Linked DNA regions of Mus musculus: all the other regions are reported to be linked to region 1. Evidence: microRNA targets listed by miRTarBase, many of them from high-throughput screens and not tested one by one. Region 1 holds a microRNA gene; each other region holds the end of a gene's coding sequence.
What was found. Region 1 holds the annotated microRNA mmu-miR-30c-5p (UGUAAACAUCCUACACUCUCAGC, at 2,209-2,231, shown strand). A microRNA usually pairs through its seed, bases 2 to 8, with sites in the 3' UTR of a target mRNA and lowers its output. Matches are read on the target gene's strand: a 7mer-m8 pairs with bases 2 to 8, a 7mer-A1 pairs with bases 2 to 7 and ends in A, and an 8mer does both.

Region 1 (4,531 bases):
TCCTGGTATACAAGATAAGTCAAGCTTCAAAGGGTTAACCATGGTTGTCTCTGTATTGTTTATAATTACTTTAATTCTGGTACATTTGGGGTTTTTTAAATGAGGATTAGGAAAGACTAGTATATATCTTGAAATGTTAGATGTAGTGTGTTCTAGGGATTTTAAAAATCAGGTAATGGCCAAAAAAAATGATTTTATGGGGGGGAGACAGTATGCCAGGTTTATAGCTTAAAAACCTCAATCTAGTTGTTGGCACAGGGTAGGGTGGAGGAAAGTGGTGAGGTGATTTAAATACAGAGCCTTACCAACTGCCACTGGGCTCAGATACACACTTCGGGGGCTTTATTATTATTATTATTATTATTATTATTTAGAACTGAAAATGACCAAGTTTTCTTTTCCAGGAAGCTTTGGTGATGCTTAAAGACCAGAACTAAAGTTATGTTCAAGATTATGTTTAGTTCTTACAGACTGTTTGACAGTTTAAATCCTTAAATGATTGTGATTAAGGCAGTTTCCTTTCATTCCTGTCCATTTTTAAACTGTTTACATGGATGTCTCTGAAGTTATTTTTCACCCTGACTTTTCTTTATTTGGAATCCATCAGAGAAATAAAATTTAAAAATCAGGTGGTTCTCAGGGAGGGTTAACTTTCCCTAAGATCTTGCTGTCACTTAAGAAAAGGTTGGCTAATGTAATCACTTCTCCTCCTAGCCATGAATGCCATAGAAAAGTATAGCAGCTGTACTTTGAATTACTAGGCAATTACAAAGACTGTTTCTGGAATGGTTGTTCCTTTTCTTCTTGTTTTAAGAAATTTATATTCTTGAAGTGATTAGATTGCCAGATATTAGATAGCATCATTCATATATTTATTCTTTAAATACTGTTTATACCCAATAAACCCTGGTTCCATGTTATGGATTTTCATCAAATAGAATGAAATTGAGTAAAACTAAACTAAACTTCCCAGGAAACTTGGTTTTATAGAGAGATAGGAAATAGCAATACTAACAACAATGAACTATGAGTTGGTTATAGATAAACATTCAAGACATAATGATGGAGAAAGGACAGAATAGGTAGTTCCTATGGGGTGACAGGGCCCAGATTTTACCAGAGATCAGTGGAGGCTGCTTTGGAAGAGAGATGCTAGATTTGAGATTTGAGACAGTATGGGACTAGTTAGTCTCAATTACCATTTATTTTAGGGCTGATTCTTGACCCACTACTGCAGTACCTCCTACACTACGATTGATGCATCTATCCTGCAGATTAGGTTGTTTTGAGGATTGAGATTGGTAGTATTCATTTCTCCTTACCCAGCATTTTACATCACTGCTGGTATGTGGCAAGTACATACAAATGTTTATCTAATGCATGAATGAGTGATTTGTGTTCACACTGGTTCACAGGTGGTAGTCTCATCATGTAGGCTTGTTTTGTAATGTTTTATATAAGCGATGACTTTCTTCTTTGCTATCCAATAGATCAATTTAGTAAATCAACTCTATTCCAGGAACTGTTTGAATCATTCATTATCAGAAAAGAACTTAGGAATTGACTGGCTCCATTTATGTGTATGCCTCCAGTTATATATTTCTTTCCACATACAACATTTTAAATTTTCTAAGATTATGCTATATTTAGTGTACCAGCTTAATGCATTATTTTATATCCCAACCAACATGTTTACTCTGCTCATTGGATTGATTTATGACTTCATAACCCACCAATAAGATAAATGGCTGTCAGTGATTAAACTTTTGTATAGTCTTATGTCTGCAGATATAATTGAACAGTTGTTCTCAGTTCTGTTAGGAGTGAAGCAGAACAAAAATCATATAGCTGAGACAGCGAGAAGGTAGACTTGTTTTCCTAAAGTTAGAGAGCAGGGTAGTAATTCGAAAGGAAATTCCTCAGACCATTTTGGGAAAGCATAGAAATGCCTGGGTATTAGGGCCAAACCAGGAAATCCCAGGAGAATCCTGGCATGTGCAAAACAGAAATTGATTAGGCATCAAGAAGGTAAGCATCCTGCAGCCTTCTTACCGGCTCCAGACCTAGAAGCTGAAATTTAGTCCCAAGTACACTCTGTTTTCTAGCCCCTGTTCTAACACGTCACGGGATCTCCAGATGTTCCACGGCATCCTGATGCTTGTGCTGCTCACCGCCAACCTGCTCTAGAGAGCACTGAGTGACAGATATTGTAAACATCCTACACTCTCAGCTGTGAAAAGTAAGAAAGCTGGGAGAAGGCTGTTTACTCTCTCTGCCTTGGAAATCAGCTAAGAGAAATGAATTTTAGATGGCCTATAGGTGATCCTATCAAAGATCTGTTATGCGGTCAACTCTAAAAGGTAAAAGGGTGAGCTAATCTGTGCTAAGAAGTACAAGACACTTTGGGAGATTGGTTATTTTTAACTGTTTAAGAAGACCAAGTATGGTGGTGTGTGCCTATAATCCCACTACTCAGGAGACTGAGACTGTTGACTAGTTTAAACCAGGTTGGGTTACCATGTAAGATTCTGGGCTACATCAAGAAAGCTGTCTCATAAAAAGTTTGTATGAGACTATTATTTCATAGATTGCTGTGGTAGCCTGTTATATGAAGCCAATAATACACTAAATGCCTGCATTTTAGCTCACCAATTTTTCTATTAACTTGGCTAGCATTTTATATACTGTGTTTGTATTTTGATGGTGTCTGGGACTTGTTACTTTACCAGGGATGAGATGCAGTTTAAATCCTTATATGACAAAAACTTGCTATTTAAGGTGGGATTGTTTGGTGCAGTTGGGGGATATACATGAAGAGAATTTTAAGCAAAATCTATGGTACTACCTTCCAAGTTCAACTTTTTTCTTTTTACAGTAAATCATCTATATTAAATGTTTTTTGAACACCTCATCTAGAATTTGGGGTTGTGCAAAATGTGAGTTCTTTTTGCATTGGGCAATCTAACAAGCATCTACCACTAACCTACATCTCCAACCCCAACAATTAGATATTGTTTTAATCAATATCAAACGTCTTCTTTTCAGAGATACTGAAGATAAAAGTATATTCTTACACAACAAACTCTTAGGATATTAAAATACTTAATGCATATATTAAATTATATATATATATACACATATACAAACTTGGCATACTAGCATGCCTCAGTCATTTAAACCAAAAGACATTATATTGCCTTAAGTATATTAGAGAAGCATTTTGTTTCTTCAGAGCTCCAAATGTAGCATATAAGATAGCATGTAGGTCTAGTTTAAAAAATATATATATAAATACAGTGAGTTCAGCATGTGAGTTCAAGAAAGTATTTGGACAAACTGGTTTTATATCAGATAAAGATACTGTTGAAGTACTAGCTGAGCAACTCAGCTTGGATGAGTCATTAACCTTTCTAGATTTGCCTTCAGGCTTAAAGAAACCTTCAAGACAATGCTCTATATTCTCCTGAAAAGAACAGTTACTATTGATTGAACTTGCACTTTCTGCCAGGGATACAGGCTGCTCTGGACAAGGACAGCTCTGCTGGAAGTAGGTGGAGTCCGACACCACATGTGCTCTCACTGCTTTTTATTGAGAAATTAACAAGAAAGACACCTGGATATTCCATATCAAAACTGGCATTGAGTTTTAGCTCTTCAACACTTACTGAAAAGTATGAAATTAAGTGTATTATTAAACAAATATTTATCGACTGAGCCACTTCTTGGGTATAGAAATGTGGCAGAGACTTAGAAATAAATAATATGTCATGAGAGATCTGTGTATTCTATGTATTTATGTAAAATAATCCAGCTTTATTCAGTGATATTTTTGCCCTTTCAGTTCTTTGATACCAAATAAATTTTAGTATTTCAGAATACTATAGAACACTTGCAGACATAAACCACTTTCTTCCTCATATGTCTTAATAACAATAGTGAATGTGACATGGCTAACTCGTATAAGTAAACATGCTTAAGAGGTCAGTGTTTTCTTGATACATTTTATGTACATGTCACATGTCTTTGTTGAAAAGATATTGAACAACAATATGAACTAACCATTATCCCCAGAACTCGTGGCTCTAGCTGCACATGTAGCAGAAGATGGCCTAGTCGGCCATCGTGGGAGGAGAGGCCCTTGGTCTTGCGAAGATTCTATGCCCCCATATGGGGGAATGCCAGGGCCAAAAAGTGGGAGTGGGTGGGTTGGGGAGCAGGGGGAGGGGGGAGGGGATAGGGGATTTTTGGAGAGGAAACTTGGAAAGTTTGAAATGTAAATGAAGAAAACATCTAATTAAAAAAAAAGGTTGTTAACAAGTTATAAAAAAGTTGTATGTTTATTTACTGTCTGTTATATAAATGCAAATATCATTGTCATTATACAAGTAAACCTAATTACTTTGAAACCTTTGTTCAAATTTATAGCTTTATCTTCACATATTTGTATAATTACCGATGCTGTAAACACTTTAAAAGAATATGAGTAAATATCAGTGTTCTATTGGAAAAATAAAAAAGCTTTAATCAACTT
Region 2 (4,531 bases), not on the chromosome of region 1:
CATGTCTTAGTCAGGGCTTCTATTCCTGGACGAAACATCATGACCAAGAAGCAAATTGGGGAGGAAAGGGTTTATTCAGCTTACACTTCCATACTGCTGTTCATCACCAAGGAAGTCAGGACTGGAACTCAAGCAGGTCAGGAAGCAGGAGCTGATGCAGAGGCCATGGAGGGATGTTCCATACTGGCTTGCTTCCCCTGGCTTGCTCAGCCTGCTCTCTTATAGAACCCAAGACTACCAGCCCAGAGATGGTCCCACCCACAAGGGGACCTCCCCCCTTGATCACTAATTGAGGAAATGCCTTACAGCTGGATCTCATGGAGGCATTTCCTCAACTGAAGCTCCTTTCTCTGTGATAACTCCAGCTGTGTCAAGTTGACACAAAACTAGCCAGTACAAACCATAAGACATAGATGGAAATGACATTTCATGTTAAAGATAAAAATGGGAATTTCTCACCTCTGCAGCACACCTGTGTCCCTTGCAGCTCCCTAAGGAGTTTGTCATTTATAATCTCTTCACAGCGTCATTTATGTATGCTTCAGGACCATCAAGCATCTGCTTCTGTCTTGATCTTAGCAGGATGCTTGTTTAGAGCTCAGTGAACATTAAAGTCAGCAGCCACTTGGCCCAAGGCAGAACAGTTCAGCATTTGGGTGGAATTGAAATGTAGGCCTCCCAGCCTTCTCTGACCCCAGGCACCTCACTTACATTGCTAACTGCTGGCTTCTCTGGCTAGGTTCATCGTGGGATCCGACCGCGCCATCTTCATGCTCCGGGATGGGAGCTATGCCTGGGAGATCAAGGACTTTTTGGTCAGTCAAGACCGGTGTGCTGAAGTCACTCTAGAGGGACAGATGTATCCTGGCAAAGGAGGAGGAAGCAAGGAGAAAAATAAAACAAAGCCAGAGAAGGCTAAAAAGAAGGAGGGAGATCCCAAACCACGTGCTTCCAAGGAAGACAATCGAGCTGGGAGCAGAAGAGAAGACCTTTAGCAGGTGGCAAGCTTCCCGCCAGGTAGGCAGGACCAGATAGCCCCTCGCAGACTGGTGGGGCAGGTGGTGCAGGAAACTGCATAGCAGATGACATTCTCATGTCCTCTAGAAATGGTCTGTGTATGACCATCTGGTCAATATCACAGTTACCGTATAAAAGGCTTCCCATGTGAAGGCAGGATTTGTGATTGGTAGTGGACTGGCAAGTCATGTCTACTGTGGCTTCACCTGACTTTGGAAACTTGATGTTTTGTACCTTTTATTTCTCTTGAGTCCATGACACCCCCAGAGTACCACTCCCTCCTCAGTGCACCTGCTGTGGTCCCATGGCCTGTTGTATCTGTGTATTACAAGCTCAAGTCAGACAAGCCTTGAGAAGCTTCAACTTGACTGAAGCGCGGGTATTGATTGTTCAGTGAGTGAAGATAACTGTGCCGTATGGGCAGTGCTGTGTTCAGTGAGTGAAGATAACTGTGCCGTATGAGCAGTGCTGTGTTCAGTGAGTGAAGATAACTGTGTCGTATGAGCAGTGCTGTGTTCAGTGAGTGAAGATAACTGTGCCGTATGAGCAGTGCTGTGCGCCCAGGATCTGGACAGCAAACTCGTTATGCAGAGTGGGCAGATTCACGACAGTGCCGTCCAGAACTTCTCATCGGTTCTGGGGAATCTTTGTCTCCCCGTCTCCTGGAGTTGAAGAGGGAATGCGCTTGTTCATCGTGTGAGGAAAGAAGGATGCTTCCACTGAGGGCCCACGTTCTGCATAGCCCAACAACTATAAAGTTGGCGAGGAGGGACCAGCAGAGTCTTGCATAGGAGTGGACCTCATCTACAGTATTTCTAAGCGGTTTCCTTTGATGAAGTGCCTAAACTTGTGCTTTTGTATGGTACTCTCATGATGTGCTGCTGTTCACATCTGTTTCTGCTGTTCATAGGTTGAAGCTTCGCTAAAAGAACATTTCTATGAGGATGCCATTTTTAAGAACTCACATTCTTTTAAAACCTCAGTTGTGGTTTGAAATTCGAAATAGTACATGTACACGTACCCGGCTAGAAATTGTCACTGTTAAGAGTGTCACAGTGTGAAGAATTGCCCTACCCTGCTGCCAGTACTTTGTCCCAGTGAAGCTACTGTTGGTCATTGGTTTTTCAAAAATAAAGTACAATTACCAGCTTCCAGTGATAGGTATATTCTGTCCTCCAGTGATGGGTATATTCTGTCCTCCAGTTGGTTTCCGTTCATGTTTCTCTTACCAAGCCACACCTCCCTCCCCAGCTCAGGGCGTCCTGGACACAACCTGCTGAGCCTCTTCAAAAAGAAGCTTTTTTTGGTCCTCGCACCTTGTGACTTGTGATGATCTGCTGCTGTCCTGTTTGAGGGTGCTGCCAATCTAGGAGAAGCTGGGACAGGGCACTCATCCTTTTGGTATCTGTGGGCCCAGCAAATCTGAAACAAGCCCCGTTCCTGGGGTTTTTCTGTTTTCACATGGGGCAGTTGATTGGCTACTGTCATGTCTAGCCATGATGCTCTTTTCTCAGGGCTGCCGTTTCCTTCTGGAAGCCTTCATGATGCTGACACGGGACTGTCATGGCTTTGAGTGTGGTGTGCAGCCTCTTCACCAGGTTCATGCATCACCTGTGATGTAGTTGTCACTGGTGGGTTCTGAGGACAGTGCAGGCATGGCAGGAATGACTGACTGTGAGGAGAAAGGAAGAAATGCATAATGCAGTGAACTGAATGGGCAGAGCTTTGTTGGGAGGTCAAGGGAGTTCCCTTTGCAAAGGCCCTGAGGCTAGAAGTAGTAGACAAGGGTGCTCTTGGAGGCCCCTGAGGAGTCTGGACTGGGGAGTGAGGACTCTAGGAGGCTGTTGGAATTTTGAGTGCCTCAGGGATTTTGCGTAGTACTGACAGGAGAGCTTCTCCGGACTCAGGCCTTTAGTCAGTCTCTCGGGTTTACAGGCAGAGAGGCTTGAAGCAGCCTTCGGTTCATGCTTTCTGCTGTTTCTGATTTCTGGCTGTGTATTCTGAGCTGGGATAAACAGATTCTCCTCTCCAAACACTTATTTGCTACTAGAAACGAAATTGGCACATTAAGCCTCCTTTTATTACAGTTCAAGAATTTGAACTCCAGATTGATCGATTTACCCTCCCTGATTTTTGACAGTCCCTAAACTGCCTCGTGTTGTCACATTTCTTCAAATTCTTGGGTTCGAGTTTCTAAAGCACAAGAAGCCAGGAGGCCCTACTGCTGCTTTTTATGAGTCAAATCAAGTAGAATGAAAGTCTATTAAAGTCACTTGTACCCAGACTACAGATTCCTTATAGTGGTACTAAGGAGGAAAAGCAGGTATGGTGTTGAATGCCTGTAATCCCAGTGTTTGGGAGGGAGAGATGGGAGGATCAGCCAGGCCAGGTTACTTAGTTGCAGGATAGCCTCAGCTACGTCTGAAACTCACGCTCCCCATGCTCCCCCCCCCCCAAAATAACCCCCAAAACAAAAAGGACTAAATGCAAAAGAAACTAGTCACAATTCTTGGTGTATGGCCTTTTCTTCAGAGGAGCCCTCTTAGCCTCCTCCATAAAATTACCAGCAGGGAAGGCTAACACTGCCATCATTGCACTGTAGTCTCCTGTTCTCAGGAGGACGGCCCCTGTTACAGCAACTGCAGGGGCATCTGGACAGCACAACTGCTTCAGTCCAGTGTCCCCTGGGACCACTGGCTTCTAGCTCTCTTTCAAGTGAGGACAGTCTGCTCCTTGGCCAGCCATCTGTCCATGGGGAAGCTACCTCAGGGCTCCTGGGAGCTCCACCACTGGAAATCGTTTCTGAGCAGACCTCATGCAAGCCCCCCTCTCTGAATTTCCTAGGGAATTTCAAAGGACTTTTATTTGTTTGGGGGGGGCGGCAGTGGGAGGAGCTGTGTTAAGTCTTTGGAATGAGTATGCAGAAGTTTCTGAAAGATGCTCCAAAGTAGCCCTCCCCCAAATTATATATCCCTAAAAGTGCTTTAACACCCAAACTTACCTGTAAGCCCAACACTGAGGAAGCAGAAGCAAGATCAGAAGTTCCAGATCAGATTGTATTACATGAGACACTCAAAATGAGACGAAATAAGCAAAACACTACCACTAACAACAACAGAAACAACCTATGACCTAGGTCTGAATGTTGGTTTTTCTTTTGGCTTAGAACACCCTATGAAGACCAGGCTAGCCTCACTGGAGATCCACCTGCCTCTGTCTCTTGGGTATTGGGATTAAAAGGAAGCCCATCTTACCCAGCCTCTCTGGACATTTTCATATACAGTATTTTGGTAAACTTTTTTCCATTCAAAGGGTAAGTTGTTTACAGTATAATTGTTAAAATTTAACATTTGGTATATATTGCTAAATAGCTGCTCCTGATAGTTCTGTCATTTGAGACTTCCCAGCAGGTCTGTGATCCTTGACAGCCTTGGCCATCACATGTGGCATTTCCAACAATTTAAAAACAAAGCCTCTTTAAAAAAAAAAAAAAAAAACAAAACCCTATCTTTAT
Region 3 (4,531 bases), not on the chromosome of region 1:
ACATAAGGCTGTCCCCTCTCAAAAAGAGGCAGGAGGGAAGAAAAGAAAAAGAAAAAGCAGATTCTGTAGGTTGCCATCAGTTCAGTGTCAGCAGTTACAATTAATACCCTGGGCTGTAAAAGAAGGGAGGCAGAGAATAGCTAACTTGAAAATATCCAAGACTGGAAGACTTATTAAACAATAAAATGTTAACATTAGTAGAGTTTTTTCATCAGTGTTACTTTTTGGGTTTTGGGGGCGGGTGTTTTGTTTTATGTTTCATTTTTTTTGTTGTTGTTTTGAGACAGGGTCTCTGTTTGTAGCCTTATCTGTCCTGGAACTTGGTGGATGGACCAAGCTGGCCTTGAACTAATCTACCTGCCTCCCGAGTGTGGGGACTAAAGGCATGCACCACCACTACCTGGCACCATAGTTGTTACTTTTATATTGTTGATATATACTGGTTATCCTCCTTACATTTTTTTTCTCTCCTCACCTTCTCCTTCCCTTTTTTTCCCATTTAGCCAAGTCTGAAACTAACTGGGAATCTCCAAAACAAATAAAAAAGAAGAAAAAGGCCAGACGGGAAACGTGAATTTTTTTTTCCTGAATTGGACATGTGTTTACAAACACTGTCTTGAAGATTATGCTGTTTATGCAATAATTTGTGAACATGTACAGAGTTTTATATAAATTTAAACCAATTTTTAAAACAAAACTGAACACAACCACCATAAAATGGAATCAAAGGAAAGTTAATTTATGAAATAAAGAGGTCAACAGAATACACAGTGCTGGAAGACACTTGGGAGAGTCTTTTCAATTGAACGAGAATGATCGTAATTTAAGACTATTATCCTGGTTTTACAACAGTTACCTGTTTACAACAGACTGTGCCCTGTCTCCTCTGCAGCTGAGGAATAATGAATGGATTCTGATTAGAGAGAAGGCTGCCGTGAGGCCAGTAGGCAAGTCCTTGGATCTTATGCACGACCTTAGACCATTTGAATCTGTTTTATGCTTAAATCAAAGTGCTTTGATCAAATGTATAATCTGCCATATCTTTACATATTTGTTGTAGCAGTTTGTATTAAAAGAATCACAAGTGCAAATTAAAAGGTCATTTATCATTTATTTAACTAAACTGTCTTGGTTTAGTTTACAGTTCTTTAAAAGTTCTAAATTAAAACATTAAAAAATGCAATTGACAGACACTTGTATGACTTACAAAGTTATTTTTGATAGTCTTAACATTACTTGAATTATTCAAAATAACAGTATATTTTAAATTAAGAAAGGTAAATATATTATTTGTTTGATACATTAAGACTGAGACTAACAATGCTCTTGTTTATGATTTGAAAAGTTTTCAGGCAAATCCAACTTAGTGTTTTTCCTTTCCCTAGCAATTTTCCAGTGTCAACTCTTAGTTGCTAGTAATTTTTTTACCTTAAAAATGAAGTAATTCGCAACTTTTGAGCATATGACGGAGAATGCAAAAGTAGTCAGACAGCTTTAATTGATATTGTGGAGACCTCCGGTTATCAGGAATACATTTTTTTACTGCCTTAACCTCCTGTAGTGAGTAGAATATGCATCAGTTTCTTGAAGGGGATTCGTGTTTTTATAAGAATTTTCATGTAACTATTGCAATTGTGGTTAAAAACAGAAAGGAACATTTTCTGCTTGAAACTGTGTTGATTTGAATGACGTATGATCTGTCACCATTTTCAGGCACTGTGTGATCCCTAGGAAAGTGGCAGGCCTCTCTGTAACTGTTAATAGTGCATGCTCGGCCATGTACACTGTAAATAGCCTTTACCAAACGTGTTTGACAAGGACCATAATTAACATCACTTTAGTAAATTGTGATTTTTTTAAAAAAAGCCATGATTTATTGATGTGAGTGGCTTGTTTTCATGTGGCGCCAGAAATGAACCTGTTTAAAAGCTATAACCAATGGTACTGATCTATCCATTAAATACTGTCCTTAAACTGTAGTTTAATAGTATTGTCAACTAGGAAAGCTAAAATGGTTTTTGTTCTGTTGAAGACTGGCCTTATTAATGGACAGCTTTCCTCAGAAGTGATTAACAACTTTTTTATTGGGTGTTAACATCTGTTTCAAGAACATGGCAGTATGTTTACATGTCGTCAGAAGTTTTCTTTGAATGGAATTTCTAAATTAATTTACTTGTTTAAATAAATTCAGAACTGGGTAGCATTGTTTTTATTTGCTTCACTATTGAGGTGAATAAGAGCTGATGTGCCACAAATGGAGCCTTCAGATGGCTGCTTTGAGCTTCGTGTTCCCTCAGGGGATGCCAAGATATGTCTCAAGGAGAGATTAATGAGGGGTTTGTAATTACAGAGTGTGCCAAGGTCAGTGCTCACAAGTTTAATTGAACTCTCTCAACTCTACCTCACTGTTCCTTTTCCTTATAATTCTCTGGGCTAGGTCAAATCAGAAACTTTATTTTTCGGTTCAGTATCTCCCGATTCAATCACTTGTAGGAGGTGGTAACTACACTTAGCAGTAAGAATATCACCTTTTTGAAGAGATGTGTATTATGGGAGTGGAAGCACAGCGATACACTGGGTAGGTCAGTGTGGAAGTCGCCTCTGTGCCTTCCTTCTCGCTGGCTTGTGAGCCAGGCCCCCCTCCCCCCCAACCCCCACGCCGGTAGAAGGAGGCAGGTATATGAGTCAAAATCCAGTTCTCTTAAAATCGTTGCTCTTTACCTCTCTATAGATCTTTGTGTGGCAGGGCAGTGATTTTTTTTTTTTTTTTTTTGTCACTGAACAGAGGAACTGGCTTCTGTCATCAACTCAGAAAACTCTGATGCCACCTGTTTCCCTGAAATAGGCTCTCTGAAAAGCCTTTCTGTTGTGGAGCAGGGCGTGGCCATGTCAGAGTTCTCCAACTGCATTATACCTATACCCTAAATTGAGAAACAAACAGTTGAGAGAGTCCAAAAATAAAAGTTGAAATATCATTGATGTAATTACCATGTTTCATTTGTGCATGCATTTTATTGGGGATGGGAGGTTGGAATAATTTATCCAAATCTAATGGTATTATTTCATAGGCTAATCCAGTTTGTATTTGAGTTAAAGATCCCAGAGTGTAGTAATTAATTGCAGCGTTTGGTTTTTCTTAATTAAAAGTAGTCCTCTATTAATATAGTGTGAAATATCAAAATTTAGGATTTAAGTTTAAGGTCTAATGGCTATTTTAAAGTTTTTCTGTAAATTCTTTGCACAAACTAGAATTGGAATTGCTTTCAAAAGACTTGGGGAATGAAAATATGTCATGTGTAAGATGCACTGAGTGTTGTAAATAAAACAGACCATTTTTGTTTTGTTTAAATTGTTACATTCTCTGTGGGAAGGGACTTTGTCCTTTTGTTGTGGTCTAATAAGATATCACGCCTTTGGTTCATGGATTTTACTTTTCCTTTCATTAAAATCATCATTTCAGGCTTTGCCACCAACAAACCAAATATTCAAAGTTACAAACCTCTGAGAATGAGCATGTGCAGCTGGGCAGAGTTATACATTCCTTTAATTCCAGCACTCAGTAGGCAGAGACAGGCAGATCTCTGAAAGTCTCTACACTGTGAGTTCCGGGACATAGTGAGACCCTGTCTGGGGCGTGAAGGGTGGTCAAGAGAAAGAGAATGAGCACTTATGATAGTGTCCTCCATGGGAATCAGCCATAAGTCATCTTAGTAAGTATGACTTTTTTTTTTTTTAGGTTAAAGGAATTAAACTAGAATTTGACGTGCATTAGTTGGTATGTGGTAGATTAACTGCATTGCCAAACAGTAGTGTAGTGACTTATGATAGTTTGCTTCTATTGTATATAAAAATCTGGGTAGATGCAGCGACTTAACATGTGAGTGGGGGGACATTTAGGGGCAACAGGGGCTTGCAAGGAGTTGGTACTGGGAGAAGAGGGGCTGGTATTAGGTTGTAAAGTAAATAAATACTTTCTGTAAGTATTAAAAAATAAATCTGGGGGAGATGGCTCAATCCTTAAAGTGTGGTAGATAACTAAATCCCACATTTAGAAAACCTGGATGTATTAGTGTGAACATGTAATCTCTGTAATAGGGAGGCTTGCCGGCAGCCAGTCTAATCAAATTGTTGAGTTACAAGGTCAGAGAGACCCTGCCTTTATAAAGGTATGAAGAGTTATCTAAGAGGACAGCTGTGTTAATCCCTGGTTTACACACATGCACACCTGCACAAACAAATACATACTCATAACTGGTCGGGGATGTAACCCAGGCCTAGTACACAGTACAGCAGCGAGGATTCTTCTATGTTGATTCCTGGTTGGAAACAGATGGTTTTCACTTCACAATTCTTGTCAGCACCTGAGCCACTTGGAAAAAGCATTTCCCAGAGAATGTTCATAGACATCACTCTGGAGACTTAATTTGCAAAAGGTGCTTGGTCCCATCAGCCATAAAGAATGGGGTGGTAGTGGCCAGGAGTAGCTCTTACTCAAGGTGCCTGTTGACCAGATTCATATTTTATGCTTCTG
Region 4 (4,531 bases), not on the chromosome of region 1:
TGCTACAGAATGACCCTTGAGAAAACTATTAATTCTTTTCAGCTTTAACGTCATGTAAGGAACAGTTTGATTAACATTGTATTAACTTTTTAAATCTAGGTTTGGAATGGGATGACATCTCGGAATGTGTAGACTGGATGGTGCCTTTTGTTAGTGTTGTAAAAAGTGTGAGTCCAGTGAAGCTGAAGACTTTTAAGAAGATACCCATGGAAGATAGACACAATATCCAGACACACACAAATTATTTGGCTTTGCTGGTATGGTTTTTTGTTTTATGTGTTTTATGGGAGGTTGTTTTTTTTTTTTTTTTTTTTTTTTTTTGCTGCCTTATCTTTCATTGTTTTTAAAAATCGTGCTATTTAGTTAAGTCCTGAAACTAATGGGGTAGAAGTTAGCAAAGTTTATCTAAGGTCTGAAACTACTGTGCATTACTACTTAAGACAGTTATTTAAGATGATAAATGGGAAAGTAATGACCATGTTGACTTAAAATATAAGGGAGATAACTAAATTAAGGCAGACTTGATGATAAGGGCCTAGGATGCACACTAACTAGTACTAGGGAGGCTGAGGCAGGAGGATCATAAGTTCCCAGGCCACATAGTAAGACCCTATCTCAAGAAAAATATTACTGTTAAGCAGCTTAAAATCAAGACCAGCAGCCCAGATAAGAAATTAGAAAGTTTTGTTGAAATAAACAAGGCTGATCTCTAACTCGGGGATCCCTCTGCCTCTCAAGTGCTAAGATTAAAGGTATGTACCACCCCCCAGCCCCCAACAAAGATAGAGACTCTAAAATTAAGTTTGGATAGAAAAAATTGGTAGAGGTCTGGTATTACTACATACTTAGTTTATCTTAACTGTTAATTACTGAATAATTTCTTCACATGTACAGAATGAAGTAAACTATGTGAACATCTACAGAAAAGGAGGGCAGCTGTCACCAGTGTGTAATGGAGGCATTATGACACCACCAAAGAGTACTGAAAAACCACCAGGAAAACACTGAAGTTAACAACCTGGAATTGAACAAATAATGGATAGTTTCATATAAATGAGTTTTACAGAAAAGTAGTGCTGTAACTATCCTTGTCTAAGGAGTTACACTGCCATTCTTTTACTTAAAAACTATATCAATTTGGCACTAAATGCCTAGGATGCACAAAATCCTGGGTTCAATCCCCAGCACTACAAAAGGAAACAAAACAAAAACTTCAAAAAATTGGCACTAAAGAAGTATTTCCTATAAAAGAGAACTTGTTTACAAAGGTGACTTCACTCCCAAGGATAGTGGATGGAAGCCAACAATTTAAGCTATAGCAGTTGTTTCTGTTTGTTACTGTGTTTCTTTAAAATTCAGTGTTACTGTATTTCTTTTGATGAACTAGGAATTTTATCATTGGAATATGGACTAAACTAGTGCTACCTTAAAGGATACATTAGCTGACACAGAACTTTGAATCTAGATTTTATATTCTTAAATTCCTATACTCTTGAATGGTGCAATTTGTTTTTGAAAATAAATTTTAAGCTTATTTACAAAGGTTGTTTTGTAATAAAGTGACTAATTTATCTAAAGCAGTTTGTAACAAACGATAAAACTTGAATTTTATGAATGGTAAAGTTCAATCTGTTTTGAACTAGTTTGTCTGCCTTGCCATATTTCTTAATCAGTAAGGCACTGAACCAAATGTTTAAACTGTGCTCTAAATGGGAGAACCAAAGAAATTATAAACAAGATATAAATGCTTTGGCTTCTTCTACTCGGGGGTTTTACTTGATAGAAAGGTTGCTTTATAATCTTTTTGTGTATCACAATTTGGGTAAAATTAAACACTTTTTCAAACTATATAAGAAAGTCACTTTATTGCACACTAAGATATCTCTAAGGCGCTTTATGTTTGCAAAACTGGTGGTCCATTTTTAAGCCCCATATTATGAGATGAGGACTGTGTCAACATGAAAAAACTTTAACATATGACCTAAACTATTTTCTTATGGCAGAAAATATTAAATGTATACTTACTCCTAGAAATTTATTTATTTAAACTTGCTGTATATAGAATAGCTACTTATACATTAAATATTTTAAGTTAGCCTTTGAAAAGGAAATTTGGGCCTAAAAAAGTTAATTTCATTAGAAAAAAAATGGTACCAGGCATGAACCTTGTCTCTCTTTGAAGAAATTATAAACTATTGTTAAGATATGAAGTTTTTGTATAATTTGTTTATAAACTAATTTGTTTCAGTTTGTTTTGGTCTAAAAAGAAAACACCACTAAATTGTACATATGTATTATATAAACTTAATCTTTTAATACTGTTTACTTTTAGCCCACTGTTTAAAAAATAAAATTGAAAAAAAATTAACTAACTGCTTAAAAGTAAAGTTTTGCCATTGCTTGTAGAAACTTCTTTTTCCTTCTCTGTGCTGCCAGCTGTAATACTTCTTCAGGGTTGCTTGCATTCAATTCTGTTTGGCCAATGGCTTTGATCTTAAAACAGAAAAGTGTTATTAGAAGTTTGACTGAAAAAAATTGTCACAGTAGTACACATAACTCAAAGTTAAAGTTAACTAAATCAAATTAAAAACTACAGAAAAAAATGGCATCACATTGATCCACTTTTAGTATGGTTACCTGGAGGGACATTTAGTTACACTAAATAAATTTCTGTATGCTTATGTGATTGTATATAAGATGGTTGTCTTTAGTAACAACATCTTTATAGTTAAAGTTTGAAAGAAATCACAAGTCATGTTTCATAAACGGGCAAAGTAGCTATGTTCTCAGAAGTAATTAGAAACACCATGACCTACTAAGTTAAAAATCTAGTTTTGTGTTTTAACTGTCTGTCTCTGACCGAAATTTTAAAGCTATAATTAGACTAGAACTTTCTGGATCAAGGAATGCATATGGGCAAAGGCTGGTGGTGGGGTGGTAATACCTTAAACAAGCCATGGCATCTCAGATAATTGGTAGAGAAGCACAGGTATTTGAGAGAAATCATACACCTCATCCGTGTGGGTGCTATAAAAATCGTGACAGGATTGATAAGGAACAGTGGGCTGAGTGAACAGCCCTGTGATGGAGCACTTCATTAACATGTATGAGGCCATGGATCTGTCTCTAGCTCTGTGACCGAAACTAAGAAAGAGCAAAGGAAGGCCCAAGGACTACCTACCTAGAGGATGAAATTTAAGAATAAGCAGGAGATAACTACATGAAAGCATAGAGCTATAGTTGGGGGTGGGGTTGATGAATAGAAAGATCAATGATCTAATGAAAGAAGCCACAGGTAAACAGGAGGAGGAGGATTGAAAGTATTTACTGGCTTTTGTATCTGTTAACTCTTGAAAGGGCAATTAAAACATAGTCGTGGCAATATTTAAATGTATAGAGTGGGAAATTTTAAAAACCTAGGCAGAGGGATCAGAACTGGCCAGAGATAAAGCATAGTCAAAGGACTGACATTAAGGATAAAATAGGTTACCAACTGCAGAAATTAGTTAAAATGCCAGTGGGAATGGAACAGCAAAACTTGCCTTCATCAAGTTACCATGTGAAGAGTGGGCTTAATGCATACAAATACAAATGACCTTCAAGGTGAACAGTAACTAGAAACCAGTTGGCATTCCTAAGTCCACAATGGTTAAGACTAATTCCCATAAAGCCAGTAGGTTGTCTTTTTTTCTAATCTATCCCAAGAAGAGCCAAGGAAATCATTCAAAATGGAAAATGTACAAACTAGGGATTTAACAGGAAAAGTCTAAAATAACAGACTTTCAAAGACTGTTGAGGCTACTAAGATAAACAATGAAAGAAGCTGAGGAAATGGGTAACAATGGTTTGGTAGTGGCAAGACTGTATGGTTATGACTTTTTAAAACAATCAGGGCTTTTCCAAGAAGTAAAGAAAGACACAAAATCCATATCTAAAAGTTCTAACAGTCAGTCAACCAGTTTGACTACCATACTTGGCTCATTATCAGATAACCTAGAAAGCTTAAGAAATGAATTTAAAAGCTTGTCTGTTGATGCTGAGCAGACTGTACTTGCTGGACTTATGGTTGAGTAGGGAAGGGTGGAAAGAAGGGGCTGACTGATGGTGGAGGGGGAGGTCACAAACCTAATTTTGACAAACACAGAAGCAAGAAAGTCAGACAAGGCTATGGGCATAATGAGTTATAGTAATAAGACAGAAAGCACACTTGACAATAAGATCAATGTAAAGGTAGTGAGTAGAACTGTGGCTGAGAGGCCTCTAAGTGTGAGGGGTAAAGGATAACCTGATCTGCAGGTAGAAGAACCAGGAGTCAAATGAGACAGTAAGGATATGTAGTTAGAACCTTTAAAGGAGAAAGGGTTTTAGAAATAATATAGGGGCGAGCCACGTATGGTGGTGCACATCTTTAATACTAGCATTTAGGAGGCAGAGACAGATGATCTCTGCCTTTGAGGCCAGCCTGGTCTATATGAGTTCTAGGATGGCTAGGGCTACATAGTAAGACCCTGTCTCAAAAAATAAAAGTATC
Region 5 (4,531 bases), not on the chromosome of region 1:
GACCCCCTATTGGTAAGTGGAAAGAGGGGGAGCTGACCTCTCTGAGGACTAGAGGCAAGCTGGGCGTGACCCTAGGCTTGTATAAGTGCTCAGCTTTGCCCTGCGGGCCTCTCTTTGGCAGGATACCGGCCAGGCGGCCTGCAGGGCAGTGACACAGAGGATGAGTGTTGGTCAGACAATGAGATCGTCCCCCAGCCACCTGTTCGGCCCCGAGAGAAGCCTCTAGGCCGCAGCCAGAGCCTTCGGGTGGTCAAGAGGAAGCCATTGACTCGAGAGGTAAGTGTGTTGGAAGGACGGCATGAGGGGGGTGTGGATGGAGCTGCAGTGCCCACACCACTCAAGGTATACTGGCTTTCTCTTCCCAAGGGCACCTCACGCTCCCTGAAGGTCCGAACCCGGAAAAAGGCCATGCCCTCAGACATGGACAGCTAGAGTCTGCAGATTGAGGCCACCTTACCTCTGGAGCCAGCAGGGGACCTTTCGCTGCTACACCAGCTACCGGGGTTCTGCTCCGTCTGGCTTGTGCCTAAATGGCACATGGCGTGGTACCCTGCACAGGGAGACATTCACTATACCAAAGCAGCCCAGGCCTGGGGCCTATTTATTGCCTTCCTCTGCCTTTTACTTTCTCAGACACGGGACCAGAGCCCCACCAGTCCCTACCGACGAAACCAAAAGTCCAACCAGCTGTGTTCATTCCTTCTTGTCCTTCAAAATACTTGACAGCCTTTTCCAAGGCCTGGTGTGTGTGTGTGTGTGTGTGTGTGTGTGTGTTTACGTACACTAGCTGCATGTTTCGTGTTGGTGAGTGAGGTCAGGCTTATGAATATTTTTATATAAATAAATACCAAACAGTGTTTGGCCTCTCCTAATTTGTCTCTTCACATCTCATATTGTAGCTAACAACTCACTGCAGGCTCTGGCAAAGGGTGTAGAGACTGCTGGAAGATCTCTGTGCCCCATCCCAGCAGCAGTATTCTTACAGTTGCTCCTAGGGATCCTTGTGGAGTTAGGGTAGAGCCTGGTGTATTGGCACAAGCCTTTGATTCCAACATGGTTGAGGGGGAGAGGGCAGGAGGATTTCTGTGAGTCCAGCATGGTTTACATAGCCAGTTCCAGATCAGCTAGGACTAGAGAGACCCTGTCTCAAAAAACAAAAAACAAAGAGTCAGACTGATCTTGAAGGGTCAGTCGGGAATCAGTACTTACAGGAAGAGGCAAAGAGATGGGGAGCCTATAGAAACTGTACAGAGCAAACCTGAGGAGGCAGGCTAGGTCTTCCATGAACCTAGAGGAGCCACAGTTCAGTGAACTCTTCCTGTAGACATTCAGATACGATTAGGGTGAATTTGCACTCTAAGCCACAAGAGGGCAGCAGCTGCCTAGGGCCAGGCTGCCCCCACCTTCCAGGTCAAAGTGGGCGGGGCTCAGAGACGAGCCAACGCCTCACCCTGCTGGGGCCTGGATGCTGATGGGGCAGGCCAAAGGAATGATGATAGCCAATGATAGCCCTTGTCTGATGCTTGCCTTCTCCATCCATAGAGACCCAGGCGCTTGCCCTGGGTTGACTTTAATCCATCTCCTTTGATCCCTGGGTCATCTGCCCCTAAAGTAGGAGGCACGTTGTACCCAGGGTCCTCCCTCCTCCCACCCCATCTGTCCTTCCTTCCCACTTCGGAGTCAAGAGTGCTGGTTGGAGGAAAACTATGAGCTGCTAAATTGGAGTGTCCTGTGAGGATTAACTCTTGGTGTAGGGATTATCTGGGTTTTATTGGAGGGGAAGGCACTTAATCTGTGTGGCTGATTTAGCCTGGCATGGACTGGGGTTCAGTGGCTTTTCTCTATGGCATCCCCTCTGTATGTGATGCTGACTCTTACTGCCTCATTACTTCACCCAAAAGATGTGTTGCTAGGAACTGTAGGGGTGAGGAGACAAGGAAGTAGCCGCTATTACTATGATCCCCATTTCCCAAACAGGCACACAAAGGGCAAATGATTTGCCCAAGGTGGACTAGCTAGTAAGTGGCAGGATTGGGCTTTGGACCAGGCAGTCTGGCTCCAGAGTTGATGTTCTTAATCACTATTCAGTAAATGGGCTGTTCCTTGCCTGGGGGCAGGGGCAGGGAGAAGGAGTCTGGCATGTGTGGGATATTTGTTGCTCGCCTGACCTTGTGCTGAGCATTTCAGAGCTGGTTTCTTTGAATCTTCGCAAAGGGCCTGTTGTCCATCTTACAGGTGAAACGGCTTTCTCCTCTATAGAGGTGCTGCCCGAGAGGTGGGCAAAGTCACTTGGTCCTCCTGGGAGGACTGCTGAAGCCACTGTGCCCTGGCTCTGCAGAGCCCACCTCTGCCCTCCCCCGGCCTGCTTTGTTCTCCTACTCCAACTCATACACCTGTCTCAGAACCCTCTGCGCGCATGCCTCTGCCTTGCCTAGCCACTCACGGAGAGACTTCAGCCTTATTTTTACTGTTGTATCCCAGACTACATGGTTGAACCAAGGTGTGATATTTTTATAACTGTGTGATTTGTTGGTGAAATCCTGCTTAGTGTCTAACTTCTGCACTGAAACGTCACCCCTTCCTCTGAGAAGCCTCTCTCACTCCCCAGCATAGGATTAGAAGTCGTGGAGTCACTTGTCACCACGGTCATATCTCTAACTGTGGCTCCCAGCCTCAGCTCAAGGCCTGACACCCATCCGAAGCCTGAAAGAGGATTGTGACTAAACCAACACATACATCAAACATCTTAAACCTCTTCAGGGTGGGAGTGAACTTTTGCTTTGGTGGCTGTGCCGTGTCACCTTAGTTCCACCACACAGCTTTCAAAACACCAGTGTCTCTGGTATGGCTTGGTGAATGGCTGGGTAAAATCACATGGTTACTAAGCATCCTGAGGCCACAGAAAAACAAATGTGTAGAAGGTCCAGGTGGTAGGCATTTCTGGGCAAGCATAAATGTGAGCCAAGACTTGGGGCACTGGGTAGCAACCTGGACATCCCTCAGAACAGCTCTGAGAACTACCCAAACACACCTTCACCCAACACTATCCTCCCCTGGAAAAGAGCCCTGGACCACCACTGATGCTCTGGCCTGGCCTCTTAAAGGGAGGGCATCTGGTCTTGTTCCTACTTTCCAAGGACCACCAACTTTCTACTTGAGACCAGTGTGCCTGGTCTCCTCCCCAGATAGGATCAAGGTTGGAAAAGGACCTGACACCAGAGACCAGTCCCTAGCACATACCTTCTGTGAGTTCTGGTCCCACCCCCACTCCTCAGCTTTTCCTACTCTTCCTGGCCTGTTACCATGACAGCCGGGACTTCCTCTCACAGTCCTTTCTCTCTCCACTTCACCTCTTGCCATCCTTTTTTAACCCTCTGCCTCTGACTCCATCACTGTCCCTCTGACCTGTGGCCCTTCATTAGCCTGGTCACTTTCCCCTTCTCTGGATTCTGTCACAGCACACAGGATCCTGTGGCTTTATTTTTAGCTGCCACTCCCAGCAGCATCCTAAGCCTCTGGGTCCCACACATGCAGCCCTAGCCCAGGCTGAGTTAGGGGTCCTGGCAGGCACTGGAGGAGCTCCAGGGGGTAACTGTTCAGGTTCACATCCCCATTTCTCACCCAGCATCTGAGATTGGTGCCCACTAACAAGCGACCTTCACCGCTGGTTCCTAGGGTTGGGGGATCCTGGGGGCAGAGCTGGCATCGTTGCACACACAGGTCCCAAGTTCAGCCTGGAACACAACGCAGGCTAGATGGCAGTGGGGGAGGGCTAGAGAGAGGAAGGGCTCCAGAAGAGGAATTAGGTCAAGGATGTGGGTGGGTGGGCGAGCGAGCAGAAAGGACAGCATCTACCCCAAGCTTCCTCCTGGCTCCCGCAGCATCTCCACACTTCCCTTCCCTGTCCCCTCCCCCTGGTCCTGGGAGATTTCTTCGCCCTGTATCCCCCTTCCCCATGCCCCCCCACCCCAAGCATGGCCACAGGGGTGGGGGTGGGGTAGGGGGAGGCCAGCTTCAGCTGTCTGAAGGATGGAGGGGCTGGGGAAGCAGGGCTAGGTGCCCAGACGGCCGCGTGTGTGGGAGGGGATGTCCTCAGATGCCCTCCACCCGGCAGTCCCCGCTCTGACGTGGGTGCCCCCCCTCTCCCCGCCCGGATTAGTGGCAGCTTGGCCTGACTCTCCGGGGCTCCTTCCCCCGCCCTGCCTGCTGCCCACCCCTGGGCAGGGGGCTACTCTGCCTGAGGGGTACTGTGCTTGCCCAGGTAAGGGTCTCTGGGGTGGAGAAAGGGCAGCCGGCTGTCAGAGAGTCTGTGCCTGTCAGCAACGAGTGTGTGTCAGCATGTGTGTCAGTTTGTGAGGGGTCGGGGTGGGTGAGGGCTGGGCCCATGTGAGTCTGGGGGTGCTAGTAAGTTTGCCAGGTCCATGATCTGGTCTTGTGACCACACACTGGGTGGCTTCCCCCCCCCCACGAGCGCCCTCCCCCGTGTTTGTGTCTTTTGTGTATGTCCTCAGCTCTGCTCCATCCTCAGGCA
Region 6 (4,531 bases), not on the chromosome of region 1:
GTGCTAAAGGAGTGACTGTGTGTTTGTTTTTCTTTCTGTATCATTTTCATCAATGCTAATTGGTCCTCTTCCCCCTAGGTAATCTTTCAGTTACCCCAAGCACTTCGGACGGAAGCACATTTACAAGTGAGCCAGCCACAGTCCAGCACGGTAAACTTTTCCTGAGCCCTCTTACCCCCAGTGCAGTGGTATACACCGTTCCTAATTCAGGCCAGACTGTAGGAGCTGTGAAACAGGAAGGCTTAGAAAGAGGCCTGGTCTTTTCTCAGTTGATGCCTGTCAATCACAGTGCACAAGTAAATGCAAGCCTGTCTTCGGAAAATCTCTCTGGGAGTGGCCTCCATCCTCTGACCTCGTCGTTGGTTAATGTGTCCGCCGCCCACGGTTTTTCCCTGACCCCCCCTACACTACTTAATCCCACTGAGCTCAACCCTGACCTTGCCGAGAGCCAGCCCGTGTCTGCACCTGTGGCAAGCAAATGTACTGTGTCATCTGTCAGCAACACTAACTATGCAACCCTTCAGAACTGTTCCCTTATTCCGGGGCAAGACCTATTGTCCGGCCCGATGACCCAGGCTGCCCTGGGTGAGATCGTACCCACAGCTGAAGAGCAGGTGAGCCACGCCTCAACAGCAGTCCACCAGGATTTTGTCAGAGAACAGCGCTTGGTTCTGCAGTCAGTCCCTAACATAAAAGAGAATTTCTTACAAAATTCTGAGAACAAAGCAACAAACAACTTAATGATGTTAGACTCGAAATCCAAGTACGTCCTGGACGGCATGGTTGAAGCCGGCTGTGAAGACCTGGGAACGGACAAAAAAGAGCTGGCCAAGCTCCAAACCGTCCAGTTGGATGAAGACATGCAAGACTTATAAGCCCGATTCACTCCACATCCCTCCTTCTCTGCTTTAACAGGAGCAAATCCTTTTCTTTGCGAAGCCCCGAGGATGGAGAGCTTCTATTCATTTAGAGGAAAACACTGTACTTCTGCAAGCAAGCGCATCTGGCTTGGGCTGCATGAAGAGCGTAGTTAAATACACAGGAGTGGACCTGCACTGCCGAAGCCCCTCTGGTCACATCGTGCTCGCTTTGAAACAGATGGGGCGAGGCAACAGTGAATGCATCCATCTAACCATCGTCTATCATTTAGTCAGCAGTATAACTCCACAGGCGAAATGGAAGGTGACAGTATTTCAGATTTAAAATGCATACACCTAATTTAGGAGATTAAATAATAGCTCCAGGCTCTTGGAAGCGATGCAGTTGGTTTTTTGTTTGTTTGTTTGTTTGTTTACTTTTACTCCATGGGCATTGAGATGGTTAAGAAACAATGGTACTCTAGACTATCATAAGGGTATATTTTTCAAATTATGTAGCTTGTGTGTGTGTGTGTGTGTGTGTGTGTGTGTGTACATACACACATTCATCGTTTTCAGCATTTGGGGGAAAGGCTTGGTTTTAAGTCTCTACGTGTTTCCAAATGTGATTGCTAATAGTCAAACGTGGCAGAGTAAGTTTGAGACGCCACTAAACTCTGACACAACTTGGGTACGAATGTAAATACAGGTCTCTAAGCAAGATCTGAGTAAGTACAGTGAGTTTTTATTTATACCTTGTATGTCTCCCTTCAGGCTCTGTGAACTGAAAAGAAAATGTCTTCTTACTGTTTAATTTATATTTATTGTTTGAGCGGGAATAGGACATCTTTGTTTCCAACCAAGGTTTTTTTTTTGTTTTTGTTTTTTTTTGTTTTTGGTTTTTTTTTTTGTAATTGTTATCAAGAGTCTATTGAGGTCAATATTAATTAACACTGAAACAGGAACTGTTAACCCCCAGTACTGGAACTTTGTCACTTCTCATCACATCCTTCTTACTTTAACAACTTTGATTCATTTAAATATGTTTTCTATAGACTCCTATGTGCCTTTTTACCTTGTGGCCTTTTTATTACTAGTCAGGTACAGAAGTGTCAACAGCAGTGTTGATGGTTCTTTTGTACCGTCAAACAGGGTTAAGTTTACCACAGAACCCCTGCATAAGGCAGGACTTCCGTTTCACTAAATATCATGTGGAAGGTTTGCCATGCACATGGATAGACAGATATAGTCGATGCTTTTCATTATAATGAAAGTAGAAAAGTATAGAAAGACCATGAAACAGCAGTTCTGCAGGCTATGACTATGAAAACAACCTTTTTTTTTTTAATTCTGTTTTGGTTTTAGTTTTCTTGAGACAGGGTTTCTCTGTTAAACAGAGAAACTGTTACTGACCATCCTGGAACTCACTCTGTAGACCAGGCTGGCCTTGAACTCACAGAGATTCACCTGCCTCTGCCTTCCAAGTACCGGGATTCAAGGCATGGGCCACCACTACCCAGCTTGACAACAACCACTTAAAATAAAAAATATATATGTAAATTGTACTAAAAATCTGTTCAACTGAAGCTCATTTCCAGTGTTTTGAATTGGTCGGTATACATGACTGTTGCCTGTCGTATTTAATGAAGTAAATCCTTCCGGTTTCTGTGGGAAATTTTGTTTAAAAGTTTTAGTAGGACTCTGCATCTATGATATAACAATGCAATGCCTTTATGCTGTTAGTCCAGGGCATCTCTGATTTCAGAAAGAAGGCGACTTTTTCTAAGGTGACTTCTCAGTTGCTAAGCACAAAGATAGTACCACTCCTTGGTTTTGTTAAGGTGGTGGAAGGGTTTCTAACTAACACACTCATCAGCTGAGCCTGCAGAGTAACGGTCACTGGGGACTTAACATTTGTTGTTACACAAGGGAACTTTCAGTCAAGATTAAGAGCCCTATGAAGAATTCTGTGCCCATCATTTTGATCAAGAACCTAAATCCCATTTTTGTGAAATTGGTGAATGTCCCTCAATTGCTGAAATATGCAATTTGGGCCAGAGGTTGTTGTTTGTTTGTTTTGGATGTTCTTGTTTTATTTTCATGAAGCCAGTTGCTTCAGTGTGGTTTTCCACTCTGACACTACTTACACAGCTTGGCTGCCCCCGTCTCCCAGTTATTTACTGATCATATTAATGTGATTAGCATCCTGGTCTTGTAGTATAGTTTACATTTTTAAAAAATGTTATTTTTTACTAGATTGCTGCAGATATCAAGAGGACATTATTTTAAAATACCTGTCTGGTAAGGGAAGTGGGAAAGTCAAAACGTTCTATAAGGCGGGTGTGTGTGGGTGTCTGCGTGCGTGTGATGGAAAACTCCCATATATCTGACAAAAGTATCTTTTTTATTCCGAGTTCTTCCTCCTTTTCTCCTTATGAGAAAGAAAAGATAGCACAAAACTAAGTACTTACCTAGGAAATGTCTTCATATTCCAACATGATGAGCTTCTAGCCCTACAAACACCCCAGGTATCTATACAATCCACCCGGTAAGACTCAGTGCTCATTATGAGAACTTACTGTTCTAGTCTATTCTTTCAGTAAAATAAGGGCCAGTTGATATGCAGCCCATGTATGTGTGAATGGAATATGGTAAACCCCGTGATCTCCTTGCACAGAATTGCAAATGACTTTTTTCCCCAACACCAAGGGCCCAGCCTCGGAGCCCTTGGAGTTCACGTGGCAGAATATCCTTCTTACATAAACCAATGCTTGAAGATGCTGCAAAGGATCCTCTAGTGATTCCTGATGAGGAATCAGAATAGAGGTAAATAACCCCCTTTAAATCCCACCCCTGCTGCTGGCTGTGGGGTTTTCTGGTGCCAGCCTATCTATGCACTCTATAGCCAGAATTGGCACTCAGCTCTTAGTTACGTCTAGTAGAGAGAATGGTCTCTAGCATTCAAAGGAGGTTCATTCCCTCCCCCCCCAAAACAAACAAAGGCCCCTGTGTTGTACTGTATAAATATCTCATGTAGATTTATAGTGAAGACTTAATACATGTCTGGTGCCTTTCTTGTGTTGTGAAAGGCAAGTAGATGTTGTAGCCATAGGTCTGTTTTTTAAATCCATAGTTGAATTGCACACTGACCTTAACTCTCTGTATGTACCCTTGTTATTCTGCATGTTAAAGCTGGAATTCTTGGGCGTGTATGGCAGACTACCCTGCTACATCCTCAATATGTGAACATTAGTGCATAAACTCGAGTCCTCTTTTCTCAAGTGTTTTTGACAGATCATCTCATAAAAATAATTCAGGAAGTCTGGGGAAAAGTCACTATGTTTTACAAGAGCAGTTTCAAAGTCTTCCTAAAACTTGGATGATAGACCCTAATGGTTATTTTGTGTCTAATCGAGACATTTCGATTTAATTAGATATTACCACCATATGTTTTATTAATCCAAATTATATCGCATGTGACTCTTTGGGTTTTCAGGGTTTCTCAAAAAAAAAAAAAAGTGTATCATTTTGTTGCATGTACTGTATGTTCAGAGGCAATCAGTTGTATACTCAATATGGTTTTACTGTGCCTTACCTGAAGAGAAACTCTACACAGAATGTATGACACGGGGTGGGGAACAGAGCCTCTCTACTGCACTGTTAGGTGATAGCAC
Region 7 (4,531 bases), not on the chromosome of region 1:
TGGGCCACCAGGCCTAGAAGGCCTGTACTTTTAAAAAATACTAATATTGGGCGCACGCCTTTAATCCCAGCACCCGGGAGGCAGAGGCAGGTGGATTTCTGAGTTCAAGGCCAGCCTGGTCTACAGAGTGATTTCCAGGACAGCCAGGGTTATACAGAGAAACCCTTTCTCAAAAAACAAACAAACAAAAACATAAAGAGCACTGACTGCTCTTCCAGAGGTCCTGAGTTCAAATTCTAGCAACCACATGGTGGCTCACAACCATCCGTAATGAGATCCGATGCCCTCTTCTGGGGTGTCTGAAGACAGCTACAGTGTACTTAAATAAATAAATCTTAAAAAAAAAAAAAAAACTAATATCACAGGCTGGGGCTGTAGCTCTGCAGTCAGCCATAGAGCACTTGACCAGCGTATATGAGAGTCTGGGCTATCTCTCCAGCACCACAAAAAACCACAGTGCTTATAAGCCCTTCAAAGCCCTTCACACAGAAAGCAAACACTCCTCTCTCTCTCTCCCTCTCTCTCTCTCTCTCTCTTTCCTTTTTTTGAGGCTAACCTAGTCTACAAAGTGATACCTTCTCTTCAAAGCAGGGGATAAGGGTGGGGTTGGCTTAGATTGAAACTTCATTTGTAGGATTTTTGCCTGGAATACACAAGGTTTTGGTGCTCTATCCTCAGAAGAGCACAACAAGACAGAGTTGTATACATCTGTTATCCCAGCACTTGGGAGGTGGAGGCAGGAGGGTCACTACTACATGAAGACTTTGTAGCTAGCCTGAGCTACACAAAAGCCTGCTTCAAAGATAATGCTTAAATAAATAAATAAAATAAACGGTGGCCGTGTTGGTTGGCGCATGCCTTTAATCCCAGCACTTGGGAGGCAGAGGCAGACAGATTTCTGAGTTTGAGGCCAGCCTGGGCTACAGAGTGAGTTCCAGGACAGCCAGGGCTACACAGAGAAATCCTATCTCGAAAAAAACAAAAAACAAATAACAAACAACAACAACAAAATGCTTAAACAAACAAACAAACAAAATAAATGATGGCAGTGTTGATTGGCGCACGGCTTTAATCCCAGCACTTGGGAGGCGGAGGCAGGTGGATCTCTGTGCCTTCCAGGCCAGCCTGGTCTACAGAGTGAATTCCAGGCCAGCCTGGTCTACCGTTTGTTCCAGGACAATTGGAACTACATAGGGAGACCCTGTCTCAAAAACAAACAAATCTAAAACTCAAAGAAGGCCTCCCCTCCCGCCTCCACCCTTGATTCTCTCACTTCTCCTTGGCTAGTTTGGCTGCCTGCCTTCTCCTAGAGACAGCCTTTTCTCCTCACGTTGTCAAAAGCTGCACATTTCTGTGAATAACCCTTTGCAGTCCCCACCCCAGTTCTTCCCACAGAAGGCTGTCTGTCTGTCTACTCGGCCCCAGGCTTAGAGAGGTTCCTTCTGGGACAGCTGTGTCCTCTCTCCCATTTACTGGGGTCCAGGACCAGTCCCAAGGAAGCGAGGAAGGCCCCAGGCTGGGTGGGCAGTAAACTACCCAGCCACCATAGCCCTGGCCCGAGCCCTTTGTCACCTGCTATGCCACCTCCATTCCTTCTCCTAGCTCTAGTCTCTGCCCTGCCAGGCGGCCTATGGGACCTTGGTCCCAGCTGCTGTCTCTAAGCCCCTTGGCTGCATTCTGGGCTGAGGTTCCAGAGAGGCCCTGATCTCCCTCTCCTCCTGGCTTTCTAGTGCCCCCAGCCACATGGTCTTTCTCAGGACAGCTTCTCCCAGCCCCACAGCCTACTTCCCCTCCCCCAGGATTCTCCCATCCCTCTTCCTCCACCTCCATCCTTCCCATCCTCCTCCTCCCTCTCTGGAATGTCAACCCTCCCGAGGGCTCTGGATGCCTTGGTGGGAACCCTGCCTGCTGCTCTCAAGTCTTCCCGGCCTCTCATTCCATCCTGGCACTGCTGCAGGCGAGCAGTGTGTTTAATTGCTTGTTTGTTTTCTGTCTCCCCGACTAGAACAGAGTTCCTGAGCACAGTGACTCTTCACAGGGACTGGCACACCCCGGCTCACAGTACCCACTGAATGACTGAAGGAATGTTTCCTCACAGCCTCTCCAGAGACAGGCACTGTTGCCTCGGATTTCTAGAGGCAGAAACTGGGGCCGAGAGCAGAGAGACTCTTGCTTGCTTCTGGCAGCGAGAGGTGAGAGTCAGGGCCAGGAGCCAGGCCTACCTGACTCCCAGCACGCTCAGAACCAGGCTGACCAAGTCCTAGGCACTAGACCTGGGGCCAGGCCCTCAGCGCTGAGTCTGGTCCTGGAGGCCCATCCCATCCCTCCAGGCCCGGGGTGAAGTCACTCACTGTTCAACCTATGTGGAGGAACCTCCTGGGGACACAGTAGGCCTTCAGCTCGTTGATGCCCAGCCCCCAATACCACCTCACCAACCTCCCCTTCAGGGAGGCCTGCCACAATTTGGCGATTGTTAGAGACTTTTTTTTTTCCTTTTGGGAGGAAAGCTGTAAGTCATTAGGCTGTTCCCGCCTGCGGGTCACCATTTCCTGTTTAGAAGACTCATCTCTCCTTTGGAGCTGGAAGCTCCCCACCCCCCAGCCGGGTTGGAGCTGGGCTGGCTGAAGCTCCCAGCCGACGCCTGCTCAGCTCCCCACAGGAAACTGGCACCTTCATCACCTTTTGTGCTTAGAAAGGACACTCATTTTCTCTCGAGCCCCAGGAGGCCCTCAGAGTTGAGGTCACCAGCACCAACTAGCCTGAGGTAAATTGCTCCAGCCCTGGTCCTCCAAGCAGGAAGCTGTATGACCCCTACCCTTTGGCCTGGCTTCTCACCCTCCTGGCTCCAGCCAGCCCATTTCCTTGCATCAAAGACCATTTGGTACCCAGCAGCCAGACAGAGGTGTGGGCCTGCCTGACAGGGAGGCGCTTGGGAACAGGAAAGACATCCTCCCTTCAGCTGGGAGGGGCAGCTAGCTCTGCCCCAAAGACCTGCTATGGTGGAGCCAGAGCTCCTGGCCAGGCTGTGGCTAAGCCCCACAAAGCACCTTCCCAAGAGAGCCCGAAGAACTAAGAGTTCAGGAAGCTTGCACTGTACCAGAGTGGGACAGATACCAGGCCAGGCAGCCCAGGCCCCAAAGTTCACGACTAGTTAGAACTCCAAAGCACAAGACTTAAGGCCCTGCCCCTCCCTCCTGGAAGTCCCTTTATGGTGCCCCCACCCCAACACTGAGCACTTTTTAGTATATAAATTAACCATTTTATTGAATATCAATAAACTGTACATATTAACTATACAAAATGCTGCTTACAATATAAATACCTTTAAAATGTAAACATCTTTCTCCCGGGGCCACCTGTTGGGCCCCAAAATAGTTCTGGGAGACACATTGGCCAGGCTGAAGCACCCCACTTGGCCCCTAACAAGTGATGGCCATTATTCATGGTCCCTTCTGAGACAGTTAAACTGCTGTGAAACAGGTGTCACCAGGACAAATGGGGGCGGGGGCTGAAACAGTTGCCCAGGCCCAGGGGCACCTGGACATGTGTCCAGTAACCACCCTGCTGAGGCATGGTTACAGCTGGACGGGGTGGGGGGGAGGGGAACTATTGCATAGTCTGTTGTACCTCAAAGAAGGTGGCCTGAAGGGTCCTTGAGGGAGGTAGGGAAGTGGGGTCCCCTGAGCGGGGTTCAAGCTTCCCAGCCAGTGGGTTGGCTTTAGTTCTATGGCTCGAAGCAGCTGTGTCCAGAGGCTACACCTCATGAATACTGAGGGGTAGGAGGCTCTGGGCGGGTACAAAGGCACTCCATCAGCCACCTGCGGCAAAGGCCACCAAGAGAGCCAAGCAGGAACCAGGTCCAGACATGGACGCCACAGGTCCCCGGACCAAGGCTGGAAGGAGTCCTGGCAGTGAGGAGGAGGGTGAGCTCCGGGAAGATGCCAGCGAGGATGGGGAGGTAGCAGGGTCAGCGAGGGCCTCCGGAGCAGCCAGACTCTTGGTGCTTGTGGAGCAAGGACATGCGGGAGAAGGTTCGGGCACAGGCCTGGCACTGGTATCTCTTCACATCCGAGTGGGTTTGGAGGTGGGCACGCAGGTTGGAGCGGTCAGCAAAAGCACGGTTGCAGTGGGAGCAGGAGAATGGCTTCTCACCTGGGGAGAGATACCAGCAGGGTTAGGAAGGCCTGGACAGGGCCCGGTCAGCCCAAGCACAGCCAGACCTGCACTGGATGCGGGTCTCTGGGCTTCCTGCTGTGCAGCCCTGAACACCACCAGACTGCTGAGTCTCCAAACTCCAGGCGGGGCTCACTGAAACAAAGTCCTTCCCACCTGGCAGGCACTGAACACTTCTGATTGACCTGTCATCTGTCCCTTCTGCAGTCCTATTAGAGGTGGGGAAACTGAGGCACAGAGGTACGCAGCAGGCTCTAGGTCACCCACCATACCTCCATAGCCCGGGTTGTAGTCACTGCCTCAGGCAGGGGAGCTGCGACTGGACTTCCTATTACCAGCCTTGAATTTACTTTGATTT

Region 2: miRTarBase lists Mesd as a target of mmu-miR-30c-5p. Seed matches in the 3' UTR shown: 7mer-A1 at 2,945-2,951.
Region 3: the mRNA of Mtdh is a reported target of mmu-miR-30c-5p. Seed matches in the 3' UTR shown: 8mer at 600-607, 8mer at 858-865, 7mer-A1 at 1,137-1,143 and 8mer at 2,121-2,128.
Region 4: miRTarBase lists Ccne2 as a target of mmu-miR-30c-5p. Seed matches in the 3' UTR shown: 8mer at 1,258-1,265 and 7mer-m8 at 2,320-2,326.
Region 5: the mRNA of Reep4 is a reported target of mmu-miR-30c-5p. Seed matches in the 3' UTR shown: 7mer-m8 at 772-778.
Region 6: miRTarBase lists Six4 as a target of mmu-miR-30c-5p. Seed matches in the 3' UTR shown: 7mer-m8 at 1,289-1,295 and 7mer-A1 at 3,080-3,086.
Region 7: miRTarBase lists Snai1 as a target of mmu-miR-30c-5p. Seed matches in the 3' UTR shown: 8mer at 3,331-3,338.

Annotation. Positions count from the first base shown.
Region 1 is chr1:23,289,506-23,294,036 of GRCm38, forward strand. It overlaps Mir30c-2 (microRNA 30c-2), which reads left to right and starts at 2,196; the gene lies at 2,196-2,279.
Region 2 is chr7:83,897,011-83,901,541 of GRCm38, forward strand. Mesd (mesoderm development LRP chaperone) reads left to right here. Exons shown (of 3, transcript NM_023403.4): 3 at 740-3,301. The coding sequence ends at 995. Among named protein-coding and RNA genes, the nearest start is that of Mesd, 7.0 kb to the left of the region's middle.
Region 3 is chr15:34,140,189-34,144,719 of GRCm38, forward strand. Mtdh (metadherin) reads left to right here. Exons shown (of 12, transcript NM_026002.5): 12 at 504-3,349. The coding sequence ends at 574. Among named protein-coding and RNA genes, the nearest start is that of Gm38594, 24 kb to the right of the region's middle.
Region 4 is chr4:11,202,091-11,206,621 of GRCm38, forward strand. It overlaps Ccne2 (cyclin E2), which reads left to right. Exons shown (of 12, transcript NM_001282943.1): 11 at 100-257; 12 at 895-2,689. The coding sequence ends at 1,008. Ints8 (integrator complex subunit 8) reads right to left here. Exons shown (of 27, transcript NM_001159595.1): 27 at 838-2,493. The coding sequence ends at 2,377. Among named protein-coding and RNA genes, the nearest start is that of Ccne2, 13 kb to the left of the region's middle.
Region 5 is chr14:70,548,064-70,552,594 of GRCm38, forward strand. Reep4 (receptor accessory protein 4) reads left to right here. Exons shown (of 8, transcript NM_180588.2): 6 at 1-12; 7 at 122-276; 8 at 367-872. The coding sequence ends at 432. Among named protein-coding and RNA genes, the nearest start is that of Hr, 3.9 kb to the right of the region's middle.
Region 6 is chr12:73,099,786-73,104,316 of GRCm38, reverse strand. Six4 (sine oculis-related homeobox 4) reads left to right here. Exons shown (of 3, transcript NM_011382.3): 3 at 79-4,531. The coding sequence ends at 875. Among named protein-coding and RNA genes, the nearest start is that of Six4, 11 kb to the left of the region's middle.
Region 7 is chr2:167,541,520-167,546,050 of GRCm38, reverse strand. Snai1 (snail family zinc finger 1) reads right to left here. Exons shown (of 3, transcript NM_011427.3): 3 at 3,237-4,152. The coding sequence ends at 3,968. Among named protein-coding and RNA genes, the nearest start is that of Snai1, 5.6 kb to the right of the region's middle.